7 linked regions of the Ovis aries genome follow. The main gene of each other region encodes a partner of the protein of the gene in region 2 in a complex. Links are inferred from orthologs where the notes say so. Each region holds a gene or a part of one and is shown on either strand. Other genes may lie near its edges. The genes, in order: TMEM216, TMEM237, B9D1, TCTN1, B9D2, TMEM17 and CEP290.

The links.
Region 1: TMEM237 (region 2) and TMEM216 share a complex: the UniProt entries of both Homo sapiens proteins name them as parts of the tectonic-like complex. The link is inferred for Ovis aries from reciprocal best matches to the Homo sapiens genes TMEM237 and TMEM216.
Region 3: TMEM237 (region 2) and B9D1 share a complex: the UniProt entries of both Homo sapiens proteins name them as parts of the tectonic-like complex. The link is inferred for Ovis aries from reciprocal best matches to the Homo sapiens genes TMEM237 and B9D1.
Region 4: TMEM237 (region 2) and TCTN1 share a complex: the UniProt entries of both Homo sapiens proteins name them as parts of the tectonic-like complex. The link is inferred for Ovis aries from reciprocal best matches to the Homo sapiens genes TMEM237 and TCTN1.
Region 5: TMEM237 (region 2) and B9D2 share a complex: the UniProt entries of both Homo sapiens proteins name them as parts of the tectonic-like complex. The link is inferred for Ovis aries from reciprocal best matches to the Homo sapiens genes TMEM237 and B9D2.
Region 6: TMEM237 (region 2) and TMEM17 share a complex: the UniProt entries of both Homo sapiens proteins name them as parts of the tectonic-like complex. The link is inferred for Ovis aries from reciprocal best matches to the Homo sapiens genes TMEM237 and TMEM17.
Region 7: TMEM237 (region 2) and CEP290 share a complex: the UniProt entries of both Homo sapiens proteins name them as parts of the tectonic-like complex. The link is inferred for Ovis aries from reciprocal best matches to the Homo sapiens genes TMEM237 and CEP290.

What each region holds. Positions count from the first base shown.
Region 1 is NC_056074.1:36,444,880-36,449,054, reverse strand, and holds the start of TMEM216 (transmembrane protein 216), read right to left. Parts: upstream 2,801-4,175; 5' UTR 2,773-2,800; coding exon 2,736-2,772; exon of another isoform or gene 2,722-2,735; intron 2,149-2,721; coding exon 2,047-2,148; intron 1,940-2,046; exon of another isoform or gene 1,921-1,939; intron 1,914-1,920; exon of another isoform or gene 1,752-1,913; intron 1,746-1,751; exon of another isoform or gene 1,610-1,745; intron 1,488-1,609; coding exon 1,395-1,487; intron 1-1,394. UniProt on the Homo sapiens protein: Part of the tectonic-like complex which is required for tissue-specific ciliogenesis and may regulate ciliary membrane composition.
Region 2 is NC_056055.1:203,963,049-203,967,183, reverse strand, and holds the start of TMEM237 (transmembrane protein 237), read left to right. Parts: upstream 1-1,335; 5' UTR 1,336-1,463; coding exon 1,464-1,505; intron 1,506-2,155; exon of another isoform or gene 2,156-2,239; coding exon of another isoform or gene 2,240-2,257; intron 2,258-3,711; coding exon 3,712-3,743; intron 3,744-4,135. UniProt on the Homo sapiens protein: Component of the transition zone in primary cilia. Required for ciliogenesis.
Region 3 is NC_056064.1:33,860,280-33,864,294, forward strand, and holds the start of B9D1 (B9 domain-containing protein 1), read left to right. Parts: upstream 1-1,215; 5' UTR 1,216-1,235; coding exon 1,236-1,298; intron 1,299-2,648; coding exon 2,649-2,717; intron 2,718-3,466; coding exon 3,467-3,578; intron 3,579-4,015. UniProt on the Homo sapiens protein: Component of the tectonic-like complex, a complex localized at the transition zone of primary cilia and acting as a barrier that prevents diffusion of transmembrane proteins between the cilia and plasma membranes.
Region 4 is NC_056070.1:54,531,250-54,534,749, forward strand, and holds part of TCTN1 (tectonic-1), read left to right. Parts: coding exon 1-87; intron 88-2,750; coding exon 2,751-2,913; intron 2,914-3,500. UniProt on the Homo sapiens protein: Component of the tectonic-like complex, a complex localized at the transition zone of primary cilia and acting as a barrier that prevents diffusion of transmembrane proteins between the cilia and plasma membranes.
Region 5 is NC_056067.1:50,063,066-50,065,727, forward strand, and holds the end of B9D2 (B9 domain-containing protein 2), read right to left. Parts: intron 1,101-2,662; coding exon 787-1,100; 3' UTR 501-786; downstream 1-500. UniProt on the Homo sapiens protein: Component of the tectonic-like complex, a complex localized at the transition zone of primary cilia and acting as a barrier that prevents diffusion of transmembrane proteins between the cilia and plasma membranes.
Region 6 is NC_056056.1:45,739,197-45,742,143, forward strand, and holds the end of TMEM17 (transmembrane protein 17), read left to right. Parts: intron 1-774; coding exon 775-1,053; 3' UTR 1,054-2,447; downstream 2,448-2,947. UniProt on the Homo sapiens protein: Transmembrane component of the tectonic-like complex, a complex localized at the transition zone of primary cilia and acting as a barrier that prevents diffusion of transmembrane proteins between the cilia and plasma membranes.
Region 7 is NC_056056.1:124,381,201-124,384,700, reverse strand, and holds part of CEP290 (centrosomal protein of 290 kDa), read left to right. Parts: intron 1-652; coding exon 653-817; intron 818-1,805; coding exon 1,806-1,913; intron 1,914-2,626; coding exon 2,627-2,761; intron 2,762-3,500. UniProt on the Homo sapiens protein: Involved in early and late steps in cilia formation. Its association with CCP110 is required for inhibition of primary cilia formation by CCP110.

The sequences.
Region 1 (4,175 bases), on a different chromosome or scaffold from region 2:
AAAAGACCTCATGATTCACCCTCTAGAGAAAGCCATTATTACAGAATGAGGCATACTGTTTCAGACATTTTTTATGTGTATAGTCACGTGTTATTATTTTCATTATTGTAAAAGTAGAATCATACTCTGCATACCGTTTGGCAACTTATTTAACCATTTAACATGGTTAGACGTCTTTCCACATTAACTACCTTTTACTCTATCGTAACTCTTTCCACACCTAACTACCTTTTTTAATGGCTATGAACAATTCATTGAACCAATATCATAATTTAACTAGTCCTGTATTGATAGGTGTTAGGTTGTTTCTAAGGTTTTGATGTCAAAAAATACATGGCAATACATCCTCATACAGATATACTTGTGTATCTGTAGAAGTGTGTTTTTTTCAGCCAGTTTTAGAAGGGAAATTGTTAATGTCTAAGAATATACATTTTACCTGGTAAAACCATTAGCAAAAAAGGTTATACTAATTTCTATTCCCAGGGGTGTGGGAATATAAATACTCACATGAGTGTGAGACCATACATACTGTTTCTTGCGGTTATTTGAATACGGGGCATTTGGGAATCTTTTTAATCCGATGGGTGAATATGTTACCGTGTTTTTCCAGTTTGCTTTTTGTTCGTGAGTTTGAGCATTTTATCATGGTTACTGGTCCTTTGTAATTATTCTTATGTGAACTGCCCATTAGGGTCGCTTGCTAATTTTTTTTTTTTTCGCTGTGCAGCATGCAGAATCTTAGTTCCCCAACCACAGATCAAACCCCTACCCCCTGAGTTGGAAGCTTGAAATCTTAACCACTGGACAGCCAGGGAATTCCCTCCCTTGCTCATTTTTAAAACTAGCTTTTTTCTTAGCATTTTATGTGAGCTTTCTTTATCCACTGTGATATGTACTTAAAGTATGTTTTTTTTCTTCAGTGTGTTTAAAGAACATTTTCAGGGATGACATATTCTAACTAAAAAGGGCTTGCTCTGTACTTCCAGGAATACAAAACTTGTCCTAGAGAAATCCTTGTTCAGAAAAATGAAGGGGATCTTAGTGCTGACCTGTGCAGGCATCTCCTGCCCCAGACATGGAGTTACAGCTGAATCTATTCTCCCAAGCAAACCAGTGAGAGGAACAAGGCACTCTTGTAACAGTTAGACAACTGGGAAGAAATTGTCTAATATCATGCCACTGCCCACTTCTGGCCCTGCCGGGCAACAGACAGATACATCTTGACCCAAAATATGAAGCAGCTTGAAACTTCAGAGAGGGAGTAATGGGATATACCACCAGATCCAATCTCTTGATTGGTGAGCCTAGGTTATGTACTTTTCCTTGTTGATCAGGTTACGGATACCAGCTCATCTCAGAAAGAATGGAAATATTCTTGGACAAACACTCACCAAAAAATAGTCGGATTATTTCAATTCCGAGATACAGGAAGAGCATCGCCACATCCAGGACTAGATTGGCTGTTGGGTACGGGAGCAGGAGACCTGCCAACACAGAAGTCAGAGCCTGAAAACAACACAGAGCAGTGCGCAGGAGAGCCCCACACGCGCGAGTCTCATCAGCTGTCCATGAGCTACTTAGTGAGGTGTGGGCAGCATCTGTTAACCTGATGCAGGATGTGTTAACTCCTTGTTGTGGCTGCATCTCTTTTAGAGGCAGGCATGTTGTTATCGGGTTTTACTCATAACTCGGACAGTCTATGAGGACTCCACCCTCCACCATTATCAGCTGTACATGGGTACACAGACCGCTGAATAGCTTCCGAGGCTCATCAACAGGCTGAAAGTGGAGTTCAGCAAGAGGTGATGGGGGAGAGTTGGAATGAAGAATCCCACATTTCCCAAACTCAACAAACTCTTGCCCAGGAGCTTCCTACTAAATCATTCTCAAGAAGTCAGCTGATGAAGAGACTTCTACCTTACAGTGAAGAGGTTCCCTAGAGGGCAGAAAAGAATGAAAAATAGGAAGGTTTTTGGTGGGAGTTGGCTCTGCCCTGAAGTGGGGAAGGGATGTGGGCAAGGGTAGTCAATCCCCAGGCCTTACCTTTATACAGAAATATGAAGAGTTCCAGCAGGAAATAGGTAGCATAATACCACCCATTCAGAAAGAAAAGAATTTCCAGCGGGGTGGAGGACAATCGTTTACCTGAAAATGTGAGCACAGAGAAAAAGAGATGGGCTGGAGGGCAGCTCAACCTCAGTTATTTCAATGGTTTTGTGTCTAACGAAGGAAAAGTGAGGTCGCAGCTAATGGAAAGGGCTACTTGGGGCACTTCTGATTGCTGATGAGGAGAGAGAAAAAGAGAGAGAGTGTGTGTGTAGGGTGTCTGTGTGTGTAGGGTTTCTCTCTGTGTGTAGAGTGTCCCCTAAACTTGACTCCGGGCTTCGGGCGCGAAAGTCAAAGCCCCTTTAAGATCTAACCTCGTCACTATTTGGGAAGGGAAAATGGGGTGCAGAGGCCAGCACTGGCTTGTTTGAAGTCACACTGCAAATTTGTAACTGAGCTGGCCTAGAACAGACCTGGCCAAGAATTTGAGGGAATCTAAGACCCGCACCTCGAGACCTTCAGGAACTCAGGGAGGGTGAAGCTGCTAGACCCTGCTTTGGACAAGCGAGAAGTGATGTCCATAACACCCGAGAATAGAGGGTTTATAAAAGTCGAGCAATGGGAGAGAAAGGAATGGAATATAGAAGCGATCAGGACCAGCGACTCACACACCTCCGTAATCTCACCTCGCGGCGCCATCTCCAGTCCCCATGGAAACTGCATACGCGGCTACCTCTACTTCTGGAGCAACGAGGCGTTGCCGGAAGCGGGGGACAGAGCGGCCCGAGACTCTGGCCTCTCTGCCCGCCCATCACACTCTATGGTTGCCTGGTGCGAAGGCCGTCTTGGTGCGTCCGCCGGTGCGCGCAAATGGCCTTCACTGGGGTTCTGTCTGGAGACCTTCGACAGCACAGGGGCCACCCCCCGAGCTGGAGTCCGTAGGCCCCTAGGGCTGGGAGCAGCTGTTGGGCTTCCCCACCCAAAGTTTACAATGAATCTGCAGAAGTAGCCAGTAGTGGTAATGTGACCACAGGATTGCCAAATAGGCTGTAGCGCCACGATTCTCTTCACTAACGGTCTGACAATACACGAAAAAAGAACAGTGAAAGTGTAGTCGCTCAGTCGTGTCCGACTCTTTGTGATCCTATCGACTGCATATAGCTGCCAAGCTCCTCAGTCCATGGGATTTTCCAGGCAAGAATACTGGAGTGGATTGCCATTTCCTTCTCCAGGGGATCTTCAGGACCCAGGGATCGAACTCAGACCTCCGGCATTGAGGGCAGGCTCTTTATCATCTGAGCCACGAGGGAATCCCAAACAACGGTCTGATAATGCACAAAAGTGCTCTGCAAATGCGGTTTGGCGTTTGGGGTCTTTTGTCTAGCAAGCAGTCTTTTCTGGGAGGGTAATAGGGGATTTAGTGCGTCCGATTTATCAAACAGGTACTTAGAAGACACCAGAATTAATCAGAACTAGAGGCTCCTTTGGCAACCCACTCCAGTATTCTTGCCTGGGAAATCTCATGGACAGAGGAGCCTGGCGGGCTAGACAACCCTGGGATTGCAGAGACTTCACTGAGCGACTGAGCAGGCAGGCAGAGGATCCTCTCGAGGAGCATAAAGAAGACCGGGAAGATGAAACATGATCACCACGTGACCCCTGACTTGCATGGGAGTTGGGAAGACAAAGTACTCTAGGTGGGAACTGAGAGAAGTTTTCAAGAGATGACTGGTGAACTGGGCTTTGAAACCTGATTATGGTTTGGAGCAGTTAGCATGTGTTACGGCCCACAGGGAAGCAGAAAGAAGAGTTTTGATTGGACTGAGGCTGACTTGACTGTCAGCCACTGTCAGGATAGGACAGAAAACATGGCACACTCAAACCAGGTAATTTGAGTAGAGTGACTCAAGTGTACAATTCAGTGGCATTAATTATATTCACAATGTTGGGTAACCATCACCACCATTTTCAAAGCTTTTTTCATCATGGCAATGAGAAACTCTGTAACCATTTAACAGTAACTCTTTTCTCCCCGTCCCTCTGCTGCTGCTGCTGCTAAGTCGCTTCAGTCATGTCCCACTCTGTGCGACCCCATAGACGGCAGCCCACCAGGCTCCCCCCCCCCC
Region 2 (4,135 bases):
GAAATTTGTATGGTTATGTAGAGTTATCTCTTTGGATTTCAGGGGAAAAAATGTTTTCCTTTACCTTATATGCAGCAATTGGTAGGGAACAATGTTAAGTCACCGAATATGAGGACCTTTCATAGATTTCACGTGGCCTTTGTGTGATTCAGATAAAAAAGAGCTTTCCTAAATAAAATACGTTGTATTTAATTTCAGAAACTGTATTTTACCTTATGAAACTTGTTTTATAACCATGGATTTTTCAAAAAGTACACAGTTTAACTGCAAGAAGGAAGGATTAATATACAAATCACCTCTAACATCAAAACTTACTGAAACAGCACTGTTCTCATTTTACACATTAAGCTACAAGGAAAAATTATTCTTTTGATCAGGGCTGTAGCAATCATTAATTTCCCCAAAAGCCGGTATCTATATTTATGCCTAAATTAGGAAAGAGCAATGAATTTTAGTGCTAAACACCAACGTCTGAGAAACAAGGGGATAAGGATGTTATTCCACGAACTCGAGACTTCCAGTCACTCTTCCTGCCTTTATATATGTTCACCCTCTGGATCACTCCCTTGTTGTTCAGTCACTCAGTCATGTGGACCCCACGGACAGCCAGGTTCCCCTGTCCTTCACTATCTCCTGGAATTTCCTCAAACTCTTGTCCACTGAGCCAGTGATGCCATCCAACCATTACATCCTCTGTGGCCCCCTTCTCCTGCCTTCAGTCTTTCCCAGGGTCTTTTCCAATGAGTCTGCCCCTGTCATCAGGTGGCCAAAGTATTGGAGCTTCCACTTCAGCATCAGTCCTTCCAATGAATTGATTTACTTTAGGACTGACTGGTTTGAGCTCCTTGAAGCCCAAGTGACTTTCAAGAGTCTTCTCCAACATCACAGTTCAAAACCATCAATTCTTTGGTGCTCAGCCTTCTTTTATGGTCCAGCTCTCACATCCATACAGGACTACTGGATCATTCCCTAACTTTTCCCATATCCGTGCCATCCATCTGCTCTTCCTTAACCATTGAGCAAATTGAGTGTATGCTTCAAAATATCTGTAGTTTTTTATTTAAAGTGACCAAGCATTATTTTTCTCAGAAACCCAACCAAACAAAACGAAGAAAACTGTCGTTTTTATTTTTAACACTTATGTGAGCCCAGATTTTATGTCGTGCGTCTTTGGATGGAGGGTAAGCAACTGGAGAAAATCTGAGAATTGCCTGTTTCGACACACACTCATACCCGAACCTAAACATTAAGTCTGGTGGCTAAACGCTTGCGTCTCAACCCTGAAGCCTCGGAACGCGAAGGCTGCCAAAGCGGAGGCGGGCGGAGACGTGGCCCGGGGGCGGCGGCCTAGTCCGGCACTGCAGAGCCACCGCCTCCGCTGGTCCCGAAGGCTGCAGCGTTGCGGGGAACCAGGCTCCCGCAGGCAGCAGTTGCGTCGAGGGAGCCCAGGCGGGCACAGCGCCATGAGGGCCGACTCCAGGCTCGGGGTGGAAGAGGACCATCGGGTGAGCGGTGAGGGGCGTGTCGGCCGCTGCCTTAACGCGGCCGCTACCTCTGGGGTAGGACCGACACCGATCTGCTGGGGACAAGAAGGGGCGAACCCCAGTCTGGAAGCTCGCGCATCCGCCCCTTCGGCGCTCACAGGATAGGGTTTGGGAGCGGGGCCTAGAAGTTCTTCCCAGGGCCGGACCCGAACTCCAAAAGCCTGGCAGAGAGCCAGGCGTGAAGTTTCCGGGGGTCTGAGTGAGGGTGTTGCCATGACGACGCCTAACTCACTCCGACCCCGCCCCTGCGGGTACGGGGGCTGCCAGCGAGGCCCTTTTTATCGACTCCTAGAGAGCATTTTAGCTGCTCAGCAAAGAGATTTGTTTGCCAGCAGGGATTTTTAATCCTGGTCTTCTCTCACTTCTCTCGAACAAATCACTGCAACCACTTGGGAAACCATGGGAAAAATCGTGATTGCTACTCCGCATCCGCTGGAGTCTCCTCTCCCGGGGCTCCGACTCCAACCCCCACTTTCCCGTAAGAGTAGCCCAGAAAAGCCACACAGGGTCTCCATGCCCCGGCTCACTCCCACCCTGCTGCGTCGAGCCTGGGGGTCAGAACGGCCTGTGCGGCGCAGCTTGATGACGCATTGCGCCTGCGCGCGCGGTCCACTAGGCGGGTGTGAACCCCGGAGGGGTGTGAGTTACCCGCGCCCGGGAGCCGGCGGCCGGCGGAGAGCCCAGCTTTAGACGCAATGGGAAAGAAGCAGGTGGTAAGCGAGCCTTAGTTACTTTCAGTTCAGTTGAGCCGTTCTACTTTTGAGGAACGTAGAGGTTGAGTTTTGGATGAACGACACGTCATTTTTGCGGGACTTTTGAAATGAGTTGTCGTCTGAACTGTATCTTTGGTTGGAACACGGTCCATAGCATCTTTAGAACAATACTGTTTGTAGACTGATGGAACAGTACCTATCCTTTGCCAGTTCAGTTTTGGGTACTGGATAGTGCTAAGACAGCCGGCGATGTCTTAGTCTTGTAGCGTTTTTATTAACACACTTTTTGAACGAATGGATAGCTAAATGGGACAGTTGTGGAACAAGCAATGAGTTGTTTAAAATTTAACCCTTCAAAATCAATGTCTTCTGCTAGCAGCTTGAGATACTTGGAATATTAAACTGATTACTAGACAAATTTGTTAGTGTTTTATTTTGAAAGATTCCAGAGTGCTGCTTAACTGTAATTTCTGTGACCTACAAGCACTTCTTAAAAAACGTGTTATTTTATATTGGCCTATAGCCAATTAATGTTCTGAACACTTTTCTTGTTCATGTAAAGTAGGAAATTTATAGTACATTTAGAATTTTTTTCTTTCTGCCCTAAATTGGGTGTTTCACATTGTATTCAGAGTATACTTTTTAAAAGGTTACTATGTTGTGTTCAGTTCAGTTCAGTTCAGTCGCTCAGTCGTGTCCAACTCTTTGCGACCCCATGAATCGCAGCATGCCAGGCCTCCCTATCCATCACCATCTCCCAGAGTTCACCCAGACTCACGTCCATCGAGTCTGTGATGCCATCCAGCCATCTCATCCTGTTAGTAACATTTTAAAAACGTTACTATATAAATGTTAGTATTTTACTCTGTGATTTAAAACCTCCATTGGCTTCCCATTGAATTAAAGCAAAATCTAAGTTCTTTCTGTTGGTCTTCCTAATTAGTTTGCCCATGCCTTGATAACCCTGCTTCACCTTTATTGGCCTTCTTTTATCTGAAACTCTCCAAGTCCAATCTCCAGTAAAAAATTTTGTATTTGCTCCCCTTTGGCTCCTTTCTTATTCAGGTCTCAGTTCAAATACCTCAGAGAGACTTTTCCTAACTAAAGCAGCATTCTTCATTCATATATATATAAATATATATGCTTAATGTTATCTTCTAATATTTAACCATTAGGATGTACTTTGCATAAAGCAAGGATCTCTCAGTTCTGTTTATTAATGAATGTATCCCTAACGCTTAGTGCAGTGCCTGGCCTGAAGATAGGAATATAGGAAGGAAGGAATTTTATGTGAAATTTAGAAGTGATAGAAAAAATTAAAATTGCCCATCTGATTCTCATCTGTATCTCTTGGGTTTCATTTGATGAACAGGTTTATCAAAAATTTGAAATACATGAAGTAAAGATGCTCCTAGGCCTTTACTTACAAGCAGTTTTCTGTCTTTTTCCCATAGCGTCCTCCACGAGCCCTTCCACCTGTGCCAAGGTAAAAATAATTTACAGTAATTTTATTATCTAGTTTAAAAAATGCAAAATGAATAAAGTGAAAAAATTTGACTAGTACCATTGCACAATTATAATAATTCAGAAAAGACTTCCTCAAGTTTAAAGATGAAAAATCCTTGAATCATTAAGATAACAGTTGTAATTAAACATTCTGTTTCAAAGACTGAATGTCCACATATTATCATCTTGGGTCTGTTCTGAATGTTTTAATGACTTGTTGATCAGAATTCTGATCCTCTTTTGTTTGCGAGAATAGTTTCCTCAGAGTTTAAGCTGATTTTAATCAGTGGCAACATAAGAGTTCTTAATCTGTTTAATCCACTTTATTAATAGACAGGGAGTACGTATATGTAGGTTCAGAAAATATTGGGG
Region 3 (4,015 bases), on a different chromosome or scaffold from region 2:
CTTCAGCATCATTCCTTCCAGGAATATTCAGGACTGATTTCCTTTAGGATGGACTAGTTGGATCTCTTTGTTGTCCGAGGCACTCTCAAGAGTCTTTTCCAACACCATACTTCAAAAGCATCAATTCTTTAGCACTCAGCCTTCTTTATGATCCAACTCTCACATCCTCCATACATGACTACTGGAAAAACCATAGCTTTGATAATGAGCAACGGAGACGTATTCACACTCCAGTACTCTTGCCTGGAAAATCCCATGGACGGGGTAGCCTGGTAGGCTGCAGTCCATGGGGTCGCTACCAGTCAGACACGATTGAGCGACTTCACTTTCACTTTTCACTTTCATGCATTGGAGAAGGAAATGGCAACCCACTCCAGTGTTCTTGCCTGGAGAATCCCAGGGACGGGGGAGCCTGATGGGCTGCCGTCTATGGGGTCGCACAGAGTCGGACACGACTGAAGCGACTTAGCAGAGTTGGCAGCTAGTACAGCAGACGTACTCAATTATCCATCCACTCCACTAGCTGCCACCAGTGCTCAGGCAACCGGGACACGGGGGTGGCCCAGACCCGGTGTTCGTGGCGTAGGGCTCAGGGGAGAGGCGGCACTGGCTGGAGCTATCACAGTAATCGATGTGCAAAAGCGAACAGTGGGGAGCGCTGAGAGCAGGCGGACGGCCGAGCCCCGCGGGCTCGCCCCTCCCCGCCGGCAAGGTGCCGGGGCGGCCACTCAGAGGCCCGTTTTCCCGCGTCACGCGGAGACCTGCAGTCTTGGGCTTAAGGACCTTCCAGGTCCCTTCTCGGTTGGTCTAATAAACTTTTGGGAGGCGAGGGTCTCAAAGGCACGAGGGAGCATCTGTAGACCCGAGGCAGGGAGCTGCTGGCCCCACGGGGACTCTCGGAAGCGCGGCCGGACCCCGCCCCTTGGCGGCCTCGGGCTCCAGTCACACACTCCAACCGGCAGCGCGGTGGTCAGAGCGGACACACATTCCCGGGCGGTGGCCTAGGTCCCGCACCACCAGCTACATTCACGCGGGGTTCCTCGGGCGGACCGCCCCTCAGACGGACCAGGCGGCTGAGGCCCGCCTCCCACCGCACAGCGCCGCTCCGACTGCGCTTGCGCGCCGCGCCTTGTGCGCGTTTTCCCGAAGCTCCCGCTTCCATGAAACTTGTCCCGTGCGCCACGCCGTCGTCTCCAGGGCAACCCGGCGCCTCCTAGTAACCGCGCGGCCCGGCTATGGCGGCCGCGGGCCCCAGCGTGTTCCTGCTCATGGTCAACGGGCAGGTGGAGAGCGCCCAGGTGAGCGGCCGTGAGTCCTCCAGGGTCGAACCTCGGGGGAGGGAGCTAGCGTGACAGGCTTGGCGAGAGATCGCGCGGACCCTCCGCCACGAAGTGCGGTGGGGAAAAAGGCCTGGAGCGTTGAGCCAGGCCGAGGCCACAGTTGGCCGAGCCCACGTGAAGATTCGGGCAGGGGCCTCCATCCACCCCGCGACCCTCAGCTCCTCCCTCCGGCGCGGGTTGGTCTGACACAGCGATGGTGGCAGCTGTCCTGACCCGGAGGCTGTGTCTGTCCGACGGAAGGGGACAGTGCTTTCCAGTCCCCTGCATGTCCTAAGAACCGTTTGTTACTACTGGAAGACATGACATATGACAGTCTTCATGCCCAGCCCCGCTCAGCCAGTCCTCACAACAACCATTTGAAGTAGGTATTACTTGCACCCCCATTTTACAGATGGGAAGTTGCCCAAAGGAAGTGGCAAAACGAATTTCAAACCTTGTCTGATGTCAAAGCTTTGCTGGACTTGCCTTTCCAGGCTGTTTTAAAAATATTATGATTATATTGTGAGTACTAACCAAGGTGGTCTAGGTAAAGCTCCGTGGGATCTCTTAGCGGGCATCTCCCGCCTTCCTGTTTCATCAGGGTCACTGCCCCATGCCCCCACCCTGTCCACCTCCCCTTGGCCTGGTGCCTAAGGCCAGCCTCTCCTGTTCTGCTTTATCCCAGCAGGGGCCTCAGCTGGGCTGGGTCAGTGTGCCTGTGTTCTCAGCAGCCCCTCATCCCCACTCTTCCTCCCCTCTGCTCGAGGCCACTCTGCAGGCCATTGGCTCCCACCAAGCTTTGTGTCCTGGGAGCACCTGTCTTCTAGACCTTTCACTTCAGCATCACTCCTTAGTGCCCACCCTGTGCCAGGTGCTAGGGACACAGAAAGCCCACATACCTGTCCCTTGTTCACAGTCTAATGGAGCTGAGAGAATAAACATGGTCAGTGCTGTGATGGAGCACCAGGGGCTGTGGAAGCTGGGATGTGGCTCCAACAACCTGGAAGTCGGCAGGCTCCCCAAAGTGTCAGTTTTGAAGGGTGAGCAGGAGTACTCCCAGTGAAGGCATTCCTTCACTTCTCATTAGAAGGGCACGTCATACAGATGTCAGAGCCTGAGCAAAAGCCTGGGGGCAGCACTGTCCCTGGACTATCCCACATCTTGAGACCAGACCTTCCAATGAACTCCGTATCCATGCACCCTGCTCTCTCAGCCCCCGCCCCCTAGGTGCCTCATGTTCAGAGTTGCTGGTGGCTGTACCTGCCTAGCTAACAGGTGGTCACAGCATGAGTCCCTGTGAGCAGAAGCTGTGTGTGCTTATTTCCACAGTTTCCTGAGTACGACGACCTCTACTGCAAGTACTGTTTCGTGTATGGCCAGGACTGGGCCCCCACAGCGGTAAGCTGGACCCTACAGCCTCCCAGACTCACAGCTTTTGTGACTGAAGGGGTTTCTGAAGGCTCCATTGCACCCTTTCCCCTCCCAATTCAGAACCAGTTAAGAGTTCAGGGGTGGCACACACGTGAGTTTGTTCCCAGTGAGGCCGGAGCAGAGAATGCAGAGATCCCTGATCCACCCCTAAGACTGTGGTCGCTCCTGGGCCCTGCCCTGCAGCGAACAAAGCCAGACCAGCCCAGCTCTGCTGGGGCCACTTGCCTGAGAGGGAGACAGACTCACGCTCCAGGCTGTTGGCTAGTAGCGGTGCTGAGGGGAAAGTGAAGGCAGGAAGGGGAGGGATGAAGAGGCCAGAAAAGGCCTCCTTAAGACAGTTTAAAAAAAAAAAAAAAAAGATGGTAACTGAGCGTAGAGCTGAAGGAAGCAGGGGGATGGGCCAAGTAGAAGGCTGTAGAATAAACTAGCCAGGCAGAAAGACAGGGGAGAGGGCAACAGCCTGCTGGACCATACCCTATTCCGCAGGAGGTGCAGGTGGAGCTTGGGCACCGGGAGAGGGGAGGGGCCTCAAGGTTTCAGGTCCTAATGGATAGAAACCCTCAAAGACCTGGGAGCCACTCTGTCACATCTTAGGTCCCTTTGTTTGGCAGAAGATGGTGATGAAAACAGCTCTCAGCTGCCACCTCAGAGGTAGGGTGGGTGGGCATGGCAGCCTGGAGCTGGGACACTGGCCGTCACTGTCATTGTCCTTGCAGGGGCTGGAGGAGGGCATCTCACAGATCACCTCCAAGAGCCAAGATGCGAGGCGGGCGCTGGTGTGGAACTTCCCCATCGATGTCACCTTTAAGAGCACCAACCCTTACGGCTGTGAGTCTGCAGGCCTCGTCCTGCCCATCCATGGGGCCCTCTACCAGCCTTGTCAGGTGCTATCAGACACCTGGCTGTTTTCCCCTCCTTCCCACTGTGTGCACTTGACCTTTCCGAGGTTCTGAGGAAGTCGGTGAAGCCCAGCGTGAAACCTTGGGCAGTGACTGCCTGCGAAGGTCAGAGCCTGGTGTCTGGGGCTCAGCAGTCTGGCCCCTCAACAGCTCTCCCCCGTCCATCACCACTGTGCTCCCGCCAGTCCCGACCCCCCTGCTCCTCCTCCAACACCCTGCCCTGAGCCAGGGGTAGGCCCTTCTCTCTGCCATGGGCACCGAGCCCTCATCCTACCTCTGATCTCCCAAAGTTCTCCTTGCCAATATCTGCAGGGTTTGTTGTCCACTGTACCTGGTCGTCTGTGATCACTCTCACTTAATGAATGT
Region 4 (3,500 bases), on a different chromosome or scaffold from region 2:
CACAACTGAGCAAGACTGCTTAGCAGTAGAGGGGATCCGGGCCCCGGTATTATTTGGTTACAACATGCAGTCTGGCTGTAAACTCAGGTAAGAGAGTAACTTGCTTCTGTTGGAGCCTATTTTCATTGATAAAAAAACCCACAAAAACATTCTTACTCTTCCCATTGTTTTCCTTGTGTTCTCCCACTGTACCTTTATATATATATATATATAATTTTTATTGGAGTATAGTTGATTTACAATGTTGTGTTAGTTTCAGGTATACAGCAAAGTGAGTCGTTATACATATATCCCATCTTTTTAATTTTCCCATGTAGGTCATTACAGAGTATTGATTAGAATTCCCTGTGCTATACAGTAGGTCCTTGTTAGTTATCTAGCCCTTCTCATTTTAATCAAAACTCTGCATCAGCGGACAACCTCATTAGCATATTATTACTGGGTAGCAGCAATAGTAACAATAATTTATTTTACAATGATGCAGTTTCTGGTTTTCTAATTTTAATTCTCATAACCATAAACTATTTGTCATGATTCAAAGGAAAATTGTTAAAACCCTTTTTGCTTATCAGATATGGCAGAGTAAAAATATCAAGGCTTTGTATGTTTTATCTTTTTATTGTCAAACATAATGTAAAATGTTGAACAGCTCTGTGTGGCTTGTTCTAAAGACAGCACTTCTTAACCTTCATTTTCCCTATCCCAGAATCCCAGAGGCAATCACTTTCAGCTCTTATGGTTGAGTTTTTGAAAATTTGTCCCCAAATTTTTAAATAACCCATATATAATGCTTCTTCATTTTTCTGGTTTTATGACTTTTGTTTTTATTTTTTTATTCAGGTATAAAGTTGATTTATAGTGTTTCAGGTGTAAAGCAAAGTTATTCAGTTATATTCTTTTCAGATTCTTTTCCATTATAGGTTATTATCAGAGAAGGCAATGGCACCCCTAGAAAATCCCATGGATGGTGGAGCCTGGTAGGCTGCAGTCCATGGGGTCACTAAGAGTCAGACACAACTGAGCGACTTCACTTTCACTTTCCACTTTCATGCATTGGAGAAGGCAATGGCAGCCCACTCCAGTGTTCTTGCCTGGAGAATCCCAGGGATGGGGGAGCCTGGTGGGCTGCCGTCAGTGGGGTCGCACAGAGTCAGACATGACTGAAGCAACTTAGCAGCAGCAGCAACAGCAAATCCTTGTTTATTTTCTTATGACTATTAATTTGAGTTCCCACTATGGGAGATGAAGATTTGGCTCTTTCTCTTTTGGTCCCCTACCCCACAAGCGACTTGCTTCCCATCCTTATATCTCCCCAGGGTATCTACATCATTATTTTGGTTAGACCAGAATTCACCATTTACATTATTCTGATCGTGTTAGATTAGCATTTCTGAAAGGAGGTTCTGTGGGGATACATTTCTATAATGTCAGCAGGGGTAAGTCTGTGGTTTAATATTTTGGGAAACACCAAATTAAAGTTCAAAACATGATTCCTTACTAAGTAAGCACTTCTCAGAGTCTTTAGTAATGTCAGTGTACTTCAACGGGGACATGGGTATGTAATATTTCTCAAATGTTTGGCCATGGAACCCTTCTTGTACAGAGCTTCTCCATGGAATATAGTTTGGGAAACTTTGTTTTGGATTCATCTCCCTGGCTAACCAAAATTTCACAAAGTGAGAGACACTTTAACTTCAAATAATCCCCTTTTTGGAGAGTGAGAAAAGAAACTAGAGAGAATATGTGTATTGTTGAGGAATGTAAAAATTAAAAAAAAACACTGCAGGTACAGTATTCTGTAATCAGAGATATTATGGGTACTAACACTGTTCTTGATGAAAGTGATAGAGGAGAGTGAAAAAGTTGGCTTAAAGCTCAACATTCAGAAAACTAAGATCATAGCATCTGGTCCCATCACTGCATGGCAAATAGATGGGGAAACAGTGGAAACAGTGTCAGACTTTATTTTTGGGGGCTCCAAAATCACTGCAGATGGTGACTGCAGCCATGAAAGTAAAGGATGCCTACTCCTTGGAAGGAAAGTTATGACCAACCTAGATAGCATCTTCAAAAGCAGAGATATTACTTTGCCAATAAAGGTCTTCTAGTCAAGGCTATGGTTTTTCCAGTGGTCATGTATGGATGTGAGAGTTGGACTGTGATGAAAGCTGAGCGCCAAAGAATTGATGCTTTTGAACTGTGGTGTTGGAGAAGACTCTTGCGAGTCCCTTGGACTGCAAGGAGATCCAACCAGTCCATCCTAAAGGAGATCAGTCCTGGGTGTTCACTGGAAGGACTGATGCTGAAGCTGAAACTCCAGCACTTTGGCCACTTCATGTGAAGAGTTGACTCATTGGAAAAGACCCTGATGCTGGGAGGGATTGGGGGCAGGAGGAGAAGGGGACGACCGAGGATGAGATGGCTGTATGGCATCACTGACTCGATGGACATGAGTTTGAGTGAACTCTGGGAGTTGGTGATGGACAGGGAGGCCTGGCGTGCTGTGATTCATGAGGTCACAAAGAGTCAGACACGACTGAGCGACTGAACTGAACACTGTAATAAAGTGAGGTATTTGGCAGATGTAACATAAAGATGTCTAATACCTGAGACAGATGCCCTTGTTTCTTATTTTTAGTACTTTTTTGTGCTAGAGAAATGTCATAATTAAACATGACCTTGACATTTATTAAGAAAAAACTGTAGGTTTGAACAATCACCTCATTTGACCTCATTCTTCTTCCCAAAAGACTGACCAAAGCTCTCACGTGTCAGCTGGTGGCGCAGAAGATGAAGAGCCTCCTAAAGGGTCAGGGCTTCCCAGACTATGTGGCCCCTTTTGGAAATTCCCAGGCCCAGGATGTGCTGGACTGGGTGCCCGTCTATTTCATCACCCAGACGTCACATGTGAAGGTAAAGGGGGAGAAGCTGAAGGCCACTTGCTAGTGGTCTCCAGTGTGCACCTGCCCCTCTCACTGTGGGGAGACAGAGGCAGGGGGTACCTGTTAAGAGGGTGAGTGGCTGTGGGTGGGAGTTTGGACTTTGTTATCAGATGGGCCTGGATCTTGAATACTGATTTTGCCCCTAGTTAGCAGTGATTTAGCCAGCGATCTTACCGGTTTGAGCCTCTTTTTCCTCATAGCTGTATTACTGCCCTCAGGGCTTGTTGAGAGTTAAAATCGGGTAATATTAATGGTGCCTAGTGGTCTCTCTATAAATGGGGACCACTACCAGTCACCATCCTGTCCCTTGTTGGTGTTATGCAAGGTTTCTCTAGGTATCATGATATGATAGGTGAAGTGGACTGTTTCAGCAAGACTTCCTCCCATCTGCAGAGCTGTCCTATCCATTGTTCCCTGGTCTATAAAAGCACTCCACCCATGAGAGCTTTCAATTCTAAAGTTCCCAGAAGAGTTTAATGGAAATTGACATCCTACAAATAGGTTCCAGATCACATGTGGTTCTCCTGCCCACCTTTTTCTTTTGTCTCAGCAGTCAGA
Region 5 (2,662 bases), on a different chromosome or scaffold from region 2:
TCCGCATCTTGCGTGGGCGGGCTCCAAGGGGGGTCCCTTAAGCCCGGGGGGAGGGGGCGGACACCCGGCTCCGCCCCACCAACAGGGTGCTGCCTCCTGGCGGTCGAGCGCTACCGAAGCGGGCGGCAGTGATGCTTGTGGGTTTGAGGACTGGGCCGGGGGTCAGCGAGAGCATAAAGACCTACGTAGTGCGGAAGGCTCAGAGAATGGGGACCCAGGATACAGGGACTTCGAGGTGGACTGCCCTGAGTGGAGAGTGGGAAACCGGGGCAGAGGGGAAGAGGGTCAGCCAGAAACTAAGGAGCCACTGGGGAAAGGGGCACGGGGCGGGGGGAACCTCCAACGAGTGGGGGCCCTTAAGAGCATCACCCAGAGTGGAGAAGGGGGTCAGACGCTGAGGCAGAGGGCAAGGGAAGGGGGCTTGAGGAGGGTAACAGTAGGAGGAATCCCCCCACCCCCGGCCCACGTCTGACAGATGAAGGTCAAAAAAGCACCCACACTTGAAAAGCACTACATCTTTATTGAGCCCTTCCACGTGCCAGCAGCTTCTCTGCACCCAACCCCTGTGAGCCCACACACCTACTAGCCCATTTTACAGATGGGAAAACTGGACCTGGGAGGGGTAGCCACTGGGCTTGAGGTGCTAGTCAGGTTAGAAGCTGCACCAGCCTTGGCTGGGTCTGGCCTCACAGTCTCCAAAGCCCATGCTTCTGACCACTGCACCATCCTGCCCCTTATGGGGTGTCCCAAGACATGGCTGGGGGCCAGCCATTCTTATAGGCTCCTTCAGCATTCAACCCCATACCGATCAAAGTGGCGCAGCAGCAGGCTCAGCTCAAGGTGCACAGTGCCCCCGGAGGTGGTGTGCAGGCGATAGCGGTCAGCCCCACTGTAGATGGCATCTCCATGCAGCAGCTGAGGCCCGCCGCCCACGAAGGCCCTCGCCAGCTGCTCTCGCCAGCTGCCCAGGGGCCGCCACGTGGGGCAGTCCAGCTGGTGGGTGCCTGGACTGCTGGGCACATGGCAAAAGCCATAGCCTGCAAGCTGGCAGCGGCCGAAGCTGTCCTGGGACCACACCTGGAGATGGAGCCGGGGCCAGCCTGCAGGATAGGGGGGAGGGTGGAAAGGTGAAGGGGTACAGTCCAGCCTCTTACTCCTGAAGACCCCCTGCCAGGTTTCTGCCCCACCCTCCTCCTCTGGACCACCACAGAGCAGCCAAAGGGATCTTTCTGAATCCAGGTTCTTCCTCGGCTCAAAACCCTTCCATGATTCCCTAATGCTCTCAGTATAAAGTCCAACCTCAACATTCTAGACCCTTGAGGTCTGGCCTCTGTTGAATTCTCTGTTGGCCTTCTCCTCTGTGTCCACATATCTGGGGAGCCCAGTCCCCAGGTGAGGGTGGTGGGCCTGGTCCTGGATGCCTCCTTCCTTCCCTCCCCATGGCCACACCCTGTCCTCTTTCCTGGCCTCGGGGCCTTCTTTCTTGCCTTCATCATCTTTCACCTGGCAGCTGGAAGCATCTTTCTCCCCTTTCCATAGATTTCTCAGTTCCTCACTCAAGATACAGTTCAGCTCCTCACCCTATAGGCAAAGTGCTTGGGAGATCCAGCCCCATTTCACCCTCCTTTTTGAGTCTCTCTGAGCTTGGCCCTGTTCTAGAAGCTGGGGATACAGCAGTGAACAGGGCAGACAAAAATTTCTGCCCTTGTGCAGCTGACATCTTAGACAACCAACACAGTAAATACGCAAATTATAGGGTATGTCAGATGGTGATAACTGCTCTGGAGAAAAATAAGCTGGGTAGGGTGGGAGTAGGTAGGCATGCAGTTTTAGAAGGCGGTGATCAAGAAAAAATTTACTGAGGTGACATCGGAGGCAGTGCTTAAAGGAGGGAAGAGACTGGGGGCTATATGGCTATCTAGGAAAGAGTGCTCCCAGCAGAGGGGACAGCTAGTGCAAAGGCCCTAAGGTGGGAGCTGCCTGGTGGGACTGATGTGGCTGGAGCAGACGGGGAAGGGGAGACAGAACCAGATCAAGCAGGGCCCTGTCCTTCCACGGTAAGGCTTTGCCTTTTACCTTGAGTGATGTGGGGACCACAGAGGGTCCTAAGCAGAGGAGGAATGTGGCCTGACTTAGGTGTTCACAGGAGGGACACCTCAGTAAAGACTCTATGGTAACAGCCTAGTGAGAGGTGATGGGGGTCGGGGGAGTGATGACATTCAGGATGCATTCCAAAGGGGGAGCTAATGGGATTTCCTAATAGAATGAGAAAAGAAACAGCAAGGATATTTGGGATCCTTAAGAGCTGAAAGGACTGTGGCCTGCCTCACCTTCCAATCCGTCACCTGTGAGACAGCCAGAGGGATCTTTTTTTTAACTGCAATCTTTTTTTTTTTTTTCAAGTTTATTTATTTGTTTGGCTGAGTCAGGTCTCAGTTGTGGCACATGGGATTTCTGTTGTGGCACTAGGGCTCCAGAGCCCATAGGCTCAGTAGTCACGGGGACCCAGCTGCCCCACAGCATGTGAGATCTTAGTTCCCTGACCAGGGATAGAACCTATCTCCCCTGCATTGGAAGATGGATCCTCAACCCCTGGACCACCAGGGAAGTCCCCAGAGGGATCTTTTAAAAGCAAAATCTGACTTGTCAATCACCTGTTCTG
Region 6 (2,947 bases), on a different chromosome or scaffold from region 2:
AGTGATAATGCCTAAAGATTTCAGTGTTCTTCCAGGCCCTTCATAATTAAGCCCCACCCAGCCTATCCCACTGTATTTTGTGCTTTTTCCTAACACAGACATCCATTCCAGGCTGATGTGTTGTTTCCCAGTCATATTCTTTCCACATTTTTGCTTATTTAAGTTCTTGCCTTTTCCTCATTCTGCTGCTGCTACTGCTGCTAAGTCACTTCAGTCGTGTCCAGCTCTGTGCAGCCCCATAGGTGGCAGCCCACCAGGCTCCCCTGTCCCTGGGATTCTCCAGGCAAGAACACTAGAGTGGGTTGCCATTTCCTTCTCCAATGCATGAAAGTGAAGTCGCTCAGTCATGTCCGACCCTCAGTGACCCCATGGACTTCAGCCTTCCAGGCTCCTCTGTCCGTGGAGTTTTCCAGGCAAGAGAACTGGAGTGGGGTGCCATTGCCTTCTCCGCTTCCTCATTCTATCTAACTTTAAAAGCCTACCTCCTTGAATTATTTCTTTTACCTACCCTGTTTACTCTGTTAGAGCATTTAGTCTATTACTCTAAGTGGTACGTACGTTTCATTATTCACTTAAGTGTAGTAATGTAGGACTGTCACATAAGGTAGTTTCCTCTTTCAGTCTAGACTGTAAGTTCCCTGAGGATAAGGACCACACTATACTTATTTTGAATTACAGAGCTCAAAATGTAGGTTCACAGTAGTATCACTTGCTTCAGCACAAGCAGAAGATGGTACTTCACTGGTCTGATGTTTGTCGTGTGTATCATTGCAGGTTCCTGAGTTGGCTGGCTTCTGGCTTCTGAGCCTTCTGTTGCAGTTGCCTTTAATTCTTTTCTTGCTCTTCAATGAGGGCCTAACAAATCTGCCCTTGGAGAAAGCAGTACATATCATCTTCACTATATTCCTTACTTTCCAAGTTGTTTCAGCATTTCTTACCTTGAGGAAAATGGTAAATCAGCTGGCAACTCGTTTCCACCTCCAAGACTTTGACCGGCTGTCTGCGAGCCGAGGAGACATGAGAAGAGTGAGGTCCTGTATAGAAGAGATTTGACCCAGTGCTGTTGAATAAGCATCTGGAGGATCATTCTAGAAGACTGCAGGAAAACACCAGAGGGCTAACACAATAAAAGGGACAAAGCAAGTGTTTTGAACTGTATCCTCCCTGGCTCTGAAATTCCAAGGCTGGACACAATGATAAGACTGTACAGCACGTGAAAGCAGTAAATCAACCCTAAAGCCTGCATGTTGTCTACCTGATGTCAAATATCTTAAATTTTTTGTTGTTGTCAATGTTTTCAGGTGTGTAGAGATCTATATTGGTGGCGTTACATCTTTACTGTAATATCTCCAGTTAGTACCTGTAACTAGAAATGTGTATATTTCTTTCACTATTGTTGGCCTATCCATGTCTTGGCAGTACGTATGAAGTATGTGGAGATGCTGGTCAGTATTCTGATGTATTAGACTACATTTGTAAACAGACACCAAATTTTCATGTCTGCTAGGGTCTTAGCTATTATACTGAGGTTAAGAAGAAAGCAGGTAGATTGTGATGATATTTAGGAAATGTTTTTATCCTAAAATTGTTATTTTCATACAGCCATGTTCAGTATTTATGGTGGTGGTGTGCAAAATGTCTTCACAATAAGTTATAAAATATTTATGTTGAGCTATCTTTAGAAATCATTCTTGTCTTTTACAGTTCTTTTGGGCTGTGGGTTTATTTTTATTATAAAGTTAAAAGAGAAAAGTACATGTATTTGAGAGCCTTCTATGTAATTTGCCACTGTCCTGGGTACATTAACCCTTATGATCTTATCTATTAAGTCATTATTCACTGAAGAACTGCTCATACCCAGTAAATTCACATGAAGATTGATCTGATAATCAGGGTGCCTGTTAATATATAGAGTTTGGATGGCCCAAAGGACTCATGATCATAAATGAGCATATTCCCTTGCTAATAGGAGAAACCTATTTAAGGAAATTCTGTTAAGAACAAAGCTTGCTTGGGTATATCTGAACCATTAATTTTAAGTGATAATTGGGTTGTCTTAAGAGATACAATATTTTCTTTCCTAAAGTATTGTATTTTATTGAGAGATAGTTGTAGCTACATTAAAAATCATTTTTTCTATCCTTCCTGTTTTGTGATTCATGCTTATCTTAGGATTTCCACATTATGCCTTATTCATTTTTATGTTGCTTAATTTTGAAAATGTTTTCACTTCCCACTGTTAATCACACCTTACTATTCTGTTTATGCTCTTTTTATTATTTCTGCTTTTTATTATTATATATAATGTTCAGTCAAAGTTTTCTTCCCCTGTACACTAACTAATTAACCTTTGCCCTATACCAAAGCTGTCACTAGGTATATTCCAATACTTTGAAATTCAAAATAGAATTCTGTTTGAATAGTTTAATAAAATGTATTTGTTCACATTTTTTTCCAGATAGATGAGTTTATAAGAAAATATAAAATAAGAACACTAAATCTACATAACAGATAAATTAAGGTGATGATCAAGAAAGACTTTTCTATTTAACAATCATTTCCAGAGTTTTATTTTAAATAGCAGAGCCTCTTGATACATTTAAACTTTAAGGTAAATCACTAAAAGTATAAAGAATAACAATAAAAAAAGTTTAATGGTTAAATGGGGGAATATATGTTTATAAAAATTTTAAAAGTTTTTGTTCTAATAATTATTGCTTAAAATGTAGATATAATGAGGGTAAGAAAAAAGAAACTAAGAAAATCAATTGAGAACATGATCAAGTCATTGGTTTTTCATAAAACAATAGAACCATGATTTTGTGTTAGTCTGAACCAACATTTTCTATTTGGTGTATATACATGGTGCTCTATGTATGCATAGGAAAATTGAGATAGGAAAGACATTTCCATGTCAGCACATTTGGAGTTTAGGCAATCTGTATTT
Region 7 (3,500 bases), on a different chromosome or scaffold from region 2:
GATATAATTTATTAATTTAGATTTTATAAATTAGGAGTTTGAGCTATTAGAATATCTGTTTATAAATAAAATGAGACTCCTCTAAGCCATAGTTTCAGTAGAAATGCTTAGATTGTAGTATCAAAGAATTTTAAACACTCTAGGAAAGTATATATTAATTAAATACTAACTAATTATTCTTAAACATTATAGTGATTAAACAAGTAGTAGGCCTACATTTATTTTTTAATGTAATTTTGTTTTTACTCTTATTTGGAAGGAATTAATGAAAAATAATTATTTTGAAATTAAATTTTATTCTCTAGGCTAGAAACATTTGGGATTTTTATTTATGAAAGTAAAACCAATGTTGCAATTACATACAAACACTAAGGACCCAACAAATACATGAAAGTAAATGAATAAATAAATGTGATTGTTAGTGATATCCATTTCAGCATCTTTTGAAAAATGCTTTATGTTAGGAGTCTACATATTAAAAAAGTCTATAGAAATTCTAAATAAACTTTTCTTTTTGGTACAACCAAGAATAATTTTATATCTTATTTTAGAATGTCCATTAATTTGAATTGAAATCATTAAAATCAGTAGAGAAATTCATTATTTATTAATATAGTATTAACATTTGTATATGTAATTTATAAATATTTAGGTAATCAGTTGGCACACAAAAATAGAAGAACTCCGTCTTCAAGAGCTTAAACTCAATCGAGAATTAGTCAAAGATAAAGAAGAAATAAAATATTTGAATAATATAATTTCTGAATATGAGAACACAATCCGTAGTCTGGAGGAAGAAATTGTGCAACAGAATAAGGTTTCATTTTATATTTATTTTGGTGTTTTGTTGCTAAGATTTTTAATATAACAACATTGCATTGATGACTGCCTTATTTTCCTAATCAAGTATAGCTTCTATTATCATTCTTATAAAATATTGTTTCTTATTTTTTAAACTATTCTAAAAATACATTATTCATTTATTTAGTTGCATTAGTTGTCTTAAAAGGAAGAATTCATAAACAAGTTTATTTGTTAAGTTAATTTTTGTTTCACTATTGGTTATTTGAATTCACCTTTACAAGTTTCTACTGCTGTCACTGAAGGAATAAGGCAGCTTGGTATAGAATAAAGAACAGAAGCTTTGGAGACAGATGCAGTTCACTAAGCAGATGCTTACTTGCCTTAGAAATTTTGTTGTTCCTTCTGCTTAAATTGTTCTTACCTAAGATACCAGTATTACTTCTGCTTTCACTGCCTTCTGATCTTACCTCTAATGTATTACCTTATCAATGAGACCTTCACTAGTTACCCAACACACAACAGTAAATTTTATCATCAAGATTCCTTAAATACGGATTACCTAGTTTCATTTTACTCCATAGCACTCATCGCCCTCGGACATATGACATACTTATTTGTTTACTATCTCCCCCTCAGTAGTATATAACTCCTGTGGTGAAGGGGACTTGGTTTTGTTTATTGCTGTGTTCTCATTGTCTCAAATAGTACTTGCCACATAGACTGTGTCATTAAACATGCTTTGGATGAATGAATGGATGGATGGATAAATGGATGGGTACATGGATGGGTTGAAATCCTGACTCCACACCTGCCTGTCCTTGTGATCTTAGGCAAAAATTACTTAATCTCTGAATTTTCTTCCTTTTTCCTTAAAATGAAAATAATAACAGTGACCTCAAATGGTTGTTGTGAGGATTAAAGAAGAAAAATGTATGTAAAAGTTCTTCTCATAGGCCTGGTGAGTGTCTCTGTGTGTGCATGACCCAACTATCCTTCTTTAGTTTCATGAAGAAAGACAGATGGCCTGGGATCAGAGAGAAGTTGAGCTGGAACGTCAACTAGATGTTTTTGACCGTCAGCAAAATGAAATACTAAGTGAAGCGCAAAAGGTATAAATGATTAATCCTATTTGCTACTCTATAGCAGGACCTATAATGTTAACCAGTAGAAATGTTTTCTAAGGTTGGATGGAATTTTATTTTTATTTTTCTGTTTTTTTTTTAATTGGAGGATAATTGCTTTACAGTGTTGCATTAGTCTCTGGTACACAACAGTGTGAGGCAGCTATCTGTATACATACGTCCCCTCCCTCCTAAGCCTCCCTCCCAGTCGCCACATCCTACCCCTCGAGGTTGTCACAGAGTACTGAGGTCAGCTCCCTGTGCCATACAGTAGTTTACCAGCATCTATCTATTTTACATGCGGTAGTATTTATACTCTTTCAATTCGTTCCACCCTCTCCTTCCCCTGCTGTGTCCACAGGTTCGTCCTCTACATCTGTGTCTCTATTCCTGACCTGCAGATAGGTTCATCAGTACCATTTTTCTAGCTTCCATGTATATGTGTTAATATACGATATGTGTTTTTCTCTTTCTGGCTTACTTCACTGTATGACAGACTGTAGGGGTCATCCACATGACTACAAATGACCCAATTTTCTTCTTTTTTATGGCTGAGTTGGAATTTTAATTGATGATATCTTTTTATGTGTCAACTATAAGTGAAATTTAACCATGTCTTGTCATATAGTTGTAAAAATTAATATTGTTATTTCCAATGTTGCAACTGCTCTTCTTTAAAAAAAAAATCTATTTCTCAATAGTTTGAAGAGGCTACAGGATCAATGCCAGACCCTAGTTTGCCCATTCCAAATCAACTTGAGATTGCTCTAAGAAAAATTAAGGAAAATATCAGAATAATCCTAGAAACCCAAGCAACTTGCAGATCACTGGAAGAGGTAATTAGAAGAATTTGCATATTGTTGTTGTTCAGTTGGCAAGTCTGACCCTGTCTGACTCTTTGTGACCTCATGGACTGTAGCATGCCAGGCTTCCTGGCCCCTCACCATCTCCTAGAGTTTGCTCAAGTTCATGTCCATTTCATTGGTGATGTCATCCAACCATCTTATCCTCTGTTGCCCTCTTCTCCTTGCATTTTGATAAGTATATTATTGGGTATACTTCTGGAATTTTATAAGTAATATTTTTAAATGAGGATGAAGCATAAAATGATGAATCTGTTGCTTATTCTACTCTACTTTTCTTTAGTCTTTGTTTTGCCAATAAAGAACAGTAGGTATGGCTAATTTGAAATCACTCTTCTTTTAGTCATTACTTATCACTTTTGGGCACACTCATCAGTTGCTAGCATGAAAGGAAACCAAAAGAGCATTTGACTGTAGCTTTATGAGCAATGTGTTTCCCTCCCTTCAATGATCAAGAATTGTTTTCATCCTTGTTTATTTTTATATTTTATTTTGAAGCATATGTTCTAAACTCTGGATCAATTTTTAGTTTACTTCTTTTCGTGGGTGGTTAAAGGGCTTGAAGGTAAACTAGGAGTTGTTTCTTAGTTTAATCTAGGTCTTAAATTTGGTTAATAGATGGTCAGATCTCTCTTTATTAAATTATACAGAAAATAGTATAAACTGAATATATTTAGATGTCAACTAAAATGAAAATCATATTACTATAAAT